2 linked regions of the Arabidopsis thaliana genome follow. The protein of the gene in region 1 interacts with the protein of each later gene in a pairwise test. Each region holds a gene or a part of one and is shown on either strand. Other genes may lie near its edges. The genes, in order: ABCG23 and CA1.

What was found.
Region 2: the proteins of ABCG23 (region 1) and CA1 interact in a protein complementation assay, tested with the Arabidopsis thaliana proteins (one large-scale study listed by BioGRID).

What each region holds. Positions count from the first base shown.
Region 1 is NC_003076.8:6,545,334-6,549,260, forward strand, and holds the start of ABCG23 (ABC-2 type transporter family protein), read right to left. Parts: upstream 1,845-3,927; 5' UTR 1,806-1,844; coding exon 1-1,805. Other genes in the region: AT5G19420 (Regulator of chromosome condensation (RCC1) family with FYVE zinc finger domain-containing protein), read right to left, coding at 2,612-2,747, 2,854-3,236, 3,321-3,467, 3,626-3,927.
Region 2 is NC_003074.8:196,221-200,147, reverse strand, and holds the start of CA1 (carbonic anhydrase 1), read left to right. Parts: upstream 1-1,987; 5' UTR 1,988-2,274; coding exon 2,275-2,496; intron 2,497-2,583; exon of another isoform or gene 2,584-3,300; intron 3,301-3,422; coding exon 3,423-3,484; intron 3,485-3,642; coding exon 3,643-3,792; intron 3,793-3,892; coding exon 3,893-3,927. Other genes in the region: LSF1 (uncharacterized protein), read left to right, coding at 74-289, 394-499, 612-724, 900-1,044, 1,171-1,293. UniProt on the Arabidopsis thaliana protein: Reversible hydration of carbon dioxide. Required for photosynthesis in cotyledons. Binds salicylic acid.

The sequences.
Region 1 (3,927 bases):
CTCGTATCCTTGTCAAGCCCTCTCTCCTTCAACACATCCTCTCCGGTCATCAAGCAGCCCATGTTCCCACTGGAGAAGCATTCCTCTCGCATGCTCCAGTACTCATTCACCACCATAGACTCCAGCGGGTAACGGTACAAGGACACATAGTACATGAACATCCATGGTTTTGGGATCTTCTCTTTTGGGATAAAGTAGCCGGAGAAGAGGAAGAAGGCTCCAAGAACAGTGCATATGAGGGAGTTACCAGAGATGAAGTCAGGAGAAACAGCGCTGAGGAAAAGCACCAGAGAACTGGCCATGAGAATGATGAGCCAGACGCAGAGGACAAAGAAGGAGAAGGCTTGAATCGATGGGTTTAGGCCTACGATCCAGTAGACTGGGATGGAGAAGAGGAGAGATACAACGAAGAGGAACGGTACAAATGCGATGGTGTTGGCTATCATGTAGGATGAGATTCGGTAGGATCCACGAGATGATTCTTTCATCAGAACGCGACGTTCTCGGAGGTAAATGGGAAGTGCTTCGACTGTTGAAGAGAGGAGGAAGCTTAAGCTGAAGGCAAAGAGTCCAAGCCGCTCTGCAACGCCTTCTTCGTCACGCTTGAGTCTTGTGTAGACGCTACCTAGACCTAATCCAGCTACAACCGCTTGCATTGTTCGCGCCAGGAACAACTGCTTTGTTCTATAGATGATCTTGCAGAATCTTGAGCAGAGGTATGAGATCTCGGTGACGTCTAGGACACGAAACGCTTCTTTCTTAGAGATAATCCCATCGTTTTCGTTGTTTTCAGGCCACATTGATGATGATTCTACGACAGCTACCGAGTTTGGCTTAAAAGTTCTCAAGGACTCAACTATTTCCATGGCGAATTCTATAGGATTCAGCTGTTCTGGAATCTGAAACCCTAGTTTCGCTATCGAGTCCTCGAGATGTTCAAGACTTCCCAAGTGGATAACCGATCCGCGAGAAAGAATCAGGTAATCGGAGATGTAATCGAGGATCCTATAACTTGGTTGGTGGATGGAGAAGAGGACGGTTCTCTGTTTGGATTTCGCCATAGTAGCCAAAAGCTCAACAACCTGAAGCGAGTTTCGACTATCCAAACCAGAGGTTGGTTCGTCAAGAAGCAGAATTGGTGGATCACGAATCATCTCAACGGCTATAGAGACTCTCTTCCTCTCTCCACCCGAAACGCCACGATCCTCTTCGTCTCCTTCTCCCACGAAGCTGTCTTGGACGAGAACAAGACCGAGATCACTCAACAAGCTCTCCACTCTCTCTTCTCTTTCCTTAGCCGTTGAATCTCTCAAACTGAATTTGGCGCTATACATTAACGTCTCTTTCACGGTAAGTAGAGGCAGTAGGTCATCGTCCTGCGGGACAAACCCGCATAGCCTTCGTAGTTGGTTATAGTCAGTGATTTTACGATTGTTCATCAAAACCGCGGAAGACGGATCTAGTGCCTTGTGGTTCACTCTTCCTGAAATGATCTTTAAAAGAGTGGATTTTCCTGTTCCACTCGGTCCAACCACGGCTAGGATTTTAGAGGATTCAGCAGCTAATGAAACGGAATTGAGTATTGGGGTGTGATTGATGGTGTAGGATAGGTTAGTGACGGTTAAAGAGTAGCGGTTAGGGGTTGGGAGTGGTGAAGAAGAAAAGGAAGAGGAAGCAGAGGAGAATTCATCAGGAGAGTTTGATGCTGAGAAAAGAATGATGGAGTCTTCCTCGCGGTGGCTTGTAGCCATAGCAGAAGGGTGGAAGCAGGAAGCCATGGTATGAGTATTGTTGTTCTTCTTCATATCAAAAAGGTCTACTAATGCTTTTTATGTATGAGTAAAACTTTTTTTTCAGAATTGGTCGACCAACAAAAGAAACAAGTGTTTAATGTGGTAGGCAGAGGTTGGTGCAACTCTTCAAAACCTGTGTATCTAATTCTTTTTGGTTGGTCATTAATTGTTTGATTTTGCTGAGTTTATCGTATAAGATAAATTTATCTTACATATATGTAAACGGTATTAGTGGTTGACCAGGAATAAAGAGTATTGGTGTATCAAACAAAAAGGTAACGTGTTAAATTCATTACTAAAATGTACTTTCCAATGGTATCAACATGCTAATTGTATTCCGTCATGAGAAATTCATGATGTCAAAAGAATGAATCTGAAAATAGATTTTGATACAAAATTAATTGCATTTAAGATAGCATTCGTAATAATTTGTATATACCAAAGGGGCATTAAATGATTTTGTTAAAAAAAGAAGCCTATTAAAAAAATACAGTATTATGATGTTAAGAAGCATATCATTTAAATTTGCCCATAGACATCTAAAATGTATAAGCTCGCACTGACACCATACCATTAATGCTGTTTGAATTTCAACATCAAATAATAACATTTATCGAGACAAAGAACGAAACAATGTATGCTTGTGGAATTTACAAAAGAATTTACATATGAAAAACACCCAAACTATGATGAAAACTATTTTCTCTCTTGGTTATAATCCCCAAATAAACCTATGAAACCCGTAGACAGAAACTAAAAAAGAATAGATGAGTGGGAAACTCAGGGTTTTCTGTGTTATCAGGGGTTAGCGAAGAATATTAATGACCCAAGTCTTCACTTCCTACACCCACACTGGATTTATCAACTACTATGCGTACATTGTATTGTTCGTAAACTCTTCCTCTGTTCTCTGCCCACCATTCTTCTGCTTGTTTCTCACTAAACCGCTTCCGGCTGCCATCAAAGACATCCTCGGATTAAGCTCATTTCATAACCAATAAAAAGGAGCATCCAAACATTCCAGCTAAGACTATAAAACAAAAAAAAAGCATTCTGGTACCTGAAACGGACACGTTTGAGATCCCTTGCACCTCCAGCTAAGGCTGTGAGAGTGATGTACACACCAGGTTCATCTTGTTCAACCCATTCATTTTCGTTACGGGGTTCACTTTCTTTTGATCGTGTGCTGATTCTATTTATCGCTTCAGCAGCATGATTAGCTTGCTGTCGGTAACTTCCACTATCGAAAACAGGTGTGCTGGTCCCATTTGAAAACATTGGGACGGTGGTTAGGCTATCAGAATCAGTTTCTCGACTGTTTGGACGGTTTAAGGTGTTAGAAGAAGGGGCAGCGTAATCAGGACTGGAACCAAATGAATTGAGAGACGGAGACTTGACAGTCCGAGCTGATCCAACAGGTAGTCTTTCAGCCATGTCTTTCAACTGCATGTTTTATTGAGAAAATCAGTAAGTTGCATAGAGCATTTTCATTCATTTTAACAGCAGAGAGGAAACTTTGGAATTTACTTGAGCGGTAAGTGATTTGATCACTTCTTTTGCTGCCTTGCATCTCGCTGATTCTTCACTAGCAATTGCTAGTGCCTCCTTTAGCTGTTTGGTTGTTCTTTCCAGTTCAACTTCTTGAAGTTGTGCCTTCCGTGTAAGATTTTCAACCTGTGAAATCATTTACTACTGAGTTCGCAAAAGGAGTCAAATTGCAAAGAATGAAACGATATGTTAATGAAACAAAATAGCACAATCTCACCAGCTATGTTTTTTTCCTAAATACACAGGAGTAAGGAACAAGAATTAAAGCGTGGAAAGCAGCTTACTTGAGATCTTAGCATAACCACCTCTTGGCTTAGGTTATCATTGCTTCTCTTGGTATCATCCACGACAATTTTTGGTGTAGTTAGTCCTGAAAGAGTGGGAGTTGGCGTTGTTGACCGAGGTGGGCTAGGACGTCTTGATATTGGTGAAGTTGCCCGGGACGCAATTCGGGAACCAGGAACTGAAGCTGAGAAGAATTTCTTTGATGATCCGAAAGTTGGATTAAAAGACTTGGTTATGTTTAGTGAACCCCGGTGCGAGCCCCCACTCGGTATTGGTGAGACACGACTACTATTGAATTCAT
Region 2 (3,927 bases), on another chromosome or scaffold:
CCTTGAGGCACATTATGTGCGTTCATGCTTTCATTTCCTACCGCTCTAATCAGTTTTGATATTTTGGTGCCAGGGATGCAGATTCCTTTGATCTTAGGAAGAAGCTACCACTTTGTGTTGGGCTCTTACTACGGTTACTGAAAAAGAACCATCGTGTCTTTGTAACTTGTACCACTGGTTTTGACCGGTCATCCGCTTGTGTGATTGCTTATCTGCACTGGATGACTGATACCTCTCTTCATGCTGCTTATAGTTTCGTTACTGGATTGCACGCTTGCAAACCTGACAGGTTTTTATCCATCTTATCTCTGTCTTGACCATTAACCTGCAGACCATGGATAGCTTTTCTGTTTTAATGAAAACATCAGACAAGTTATATGTATTTTTTCACAGACCTGCAATTGCTTGGGCAACATGGGATCTTATCGCTATGGTGGACGATGGCAAACATGATGGGACTCCAACACACTCTGTAACCTTTGTGTGGAATGGACATGAGGTGACTGTTGCTTCACATGCTTTTATTACTTTGCTGCAATTCTTTATGGAACTCGTGATCTGTAGGGTTGAGCAACTAGCCTCTGTGTTTTAAGTTACACCTTGGTTTACAGGGGGAGGAGGTATTGTTGGTTGGGGATTTCACAGGAAATTGGAAAGAACCGATAAAAGCAACGCACAAAGGCGGTCCACGTTTTGAAACTGAAGTTAGACTTACACAGGGAAAGTAAGTCATGCTTCTTTTACCTTTCCCGTTGATGCTTTTTTTAAGGTTCAACAGTAAAACGTCTCATAATCTTCCCTGCATGTTAATTGTGACTTTTGAGGGATTGCAAACTGCAAAGAAACTTATGAAAATGCATTTGTGTCATATAACTTGGTGATTATTGACAATGTGGCAGATACTACTACAAGTACATAATCAACGGTGATTGGAGGCATTCAGCAACTTCACCAACGGAAAGAGATGACCGAGGAAACACGAACAATATAATTGTAGTTGGTGATGTTGCTAACGTCAGGCCTACAATTCAACAACCAAGAAAGGTTACTCCTACTATGCAGTAGTCTCTTCTTCATACAATAGGAAAAGCTTGAATAAGATGTTCCACGTTATATTTGCCTGATTGGTTCAAGACATAAACCTGAAGCAACTTGTACAATGTTTTGCAGGATGCAAATATCATAAAGGTGATCGAGAGAGTGTTAACAGAGAGCGAAAGATTTAGGCTGGCGAAAGCAGCTCGGTGTATCGCATTCTCAGTTTGTCCAATAAGACTATGCCCAAAGTCGTAGAAGTTTTGTTTTGGCATAAGTTAAAATGTTACATCCATTCTTCTGTCTCTATCCATTCCTCGAGGTACTTAACCCTAATATCGTTGTGAACAACATTGCCACATTCGCGCACTCTATGACAAGAGAATGTTGACATTATGTTGTGTGTTTGCATGAAAAAATGTCGACATAGTTTCGCCGTTGCCCACTTTACATATAAGTCCCAAAACCAACCCTAATGCGTTACTGGTCTCTGTATTTCTTCTTCATTTTCTCTCTCTCTCTCGCTCTCTCCTAACATGTTGAAGAAAATAGAAACTCTGTTATCTAATGTTGCCTATATGATGATTTATGGCCATGGAAGGTCTGAGAGGAGAGACCCTTCTTCTCTATTTTTTTTATTTCCTCTTCATTTTCATGCTAAGAGTTTTCACTGAGTCTGTTGTTTCGTAGAGTAGAACAGTCCATGATCGATGTTAATCCTTTGCATCTTCTAGATTGTGTATACAATAGCAATCTCTGGTCTAGAGAGAGCCTAGAGAAGTATGGATCTTTCTATATGTATACCACAAACAAATGGCCTAACATCTAAAGTGGGTGGTGATTATTTAAGATGAGAGCCTGAGAGGGTAAGTGAAAGAGGCTGATCCTTGTTTTCATGATAAGGGACCTTATCCTCTAAACCTTTCTGAGACCTTTTATTTTTTTATAAAAAAAAGAATTGAAAGAAGAAAAGAGCACGTAAAAGTTTTGAAATCTTGAGCTAATATTCCTCATCCACAAGAAAAGAAGAAAGTTTGTTATTCACCGCAGCTATCGCTTTCGTTATCCTCGTTCCCACAACCTCACCATGACCATGAGACTCCGTTCTTTTAAACTCCCAAATCTTTCAACCAATCCCATTATTCACTTAAGTATATAGTAGCTTCCATAAGAGTCTTAGTTCTAACTATAAATACACATATCTCACTCTCTCTGATCTCCGCTTCTCTTCGCCAACAAATGTCGACCGCTCCTCTCTCCGGCTTCTTTCTCACTTCACTTTCTCCTTCTCAATCTTCTCTCCAGAAACTCTCTCTTCGTACTTCTTCCACCGTCGCTTGCCTCCCACCCGCCTCTTCTTCTTCCTCATCTTCCTCCTCCTCGTCTTCCCGTTCCGTTCCAACGCTTATCCGTAACGAGCCAGTTTTTGCCGCTCCTGCTCCTATCATTGCCCCTTATTGGGTATACATTTTTACATTCATCACTGTTTCTTAACCTACATTATTTCTTACATAACTTACATTGCTGTTTACGTATAATAGGGGTACATTACATAGATAGCAAACTAAAGTTACAGAATTTTAAAATTTGTAAAGATTTTACGAAATTATTATATAGATTCTGCAATTGCCATTTTAGTGATAGGAACAAAAATCTTCTATAGAAACTAGCTTACGAAACTTCCACAAATCTTGGAAACTGTCACATGTGTTTCACATTTCAGTTTTTTTTTCCCTTGGTATTTCCTTATATTATCCTTACTATTATCATCCGTGTTTGACTTTTGGTCTTTAGCGTGGTACTGAAAGAATTACCCAAATTAACAAGAATCAAACTAAAGTTGCTTAATTAGTGAATCACAAGCAAGGGAAGAGTTCATTTTCAATCCTTATTCTATACAGATCTTCAAACTACTTGCTTCGACATCTAGTGAAGTTAAAAACAAATCACCTCGAAATATTAAAAGCGTTGTCTCATTCCTACCCAAGATCCGACATTTTTGAAATTTTGAGAGTTAGAACGTACGTAGGATCCACGTGATAAAAGAAAAGTTGCTAGTAGTAGCTTCAACAAAAACGATTCATGAAACTGAGACGTGTGTGTATGCACATGTACCATATGAGAGCGTGTGGAGCATAGTGGTGATTAAGTCGCCATCTATATTTATTCATTCAACCTACCGATTTGGTTCCTACTAGCGAAAATAAAATCATAATATAAAAGACTATAAAATTGTACTTTATCGTATAATGAAGTTCTGAACAGGTTGATTGTAGTTTCAACATTTAAAACACGTCATGACTCGCTCTCTACTTAATTACGTTCACGACAATAAAATATACTAGTACTCATTTTCTTCTAATTTTATTTGGTCAACCAACTTGCAGAGTGAAGAGATGGGAACCGAAGCATACGACGAGGCTATTGAAGCTCTCAAGAAGCTTCTCATGTAAGTATATACATCTTTTCTATTCGCATGCATACATTAATACATGATTAGATTAATAAAAGCTAAAACATTATTATAAATTAGTAACGGGATTTTTCAATACTACTTAATTCATAATTTTTGTGATTTAACTATAAATGTATATAAACATATGGCAGCGAGAAGGAAGAGCTAAAGACGGTTGCAGCGGCAAAGGTGGAGCAGATCACAGCGGCTCTTCAGACAGGTACTTCATCCGACAAGAAAGCTTTCGACCCCGTCGAAACCATTAAGCAGGGCTTCATCAAATTCAAGAAGGAGAAATACGAGTAATATATATTTCTATTTCATTTGTTTGTTCTTAATTATGTCACCAACTAAAGTGGTCTAGATTAATTAACTGGTTCATATTTATACTTTTATTTGCAGAACCAACCCTGCTTTGTACGGTGAGCTCGCAAAGG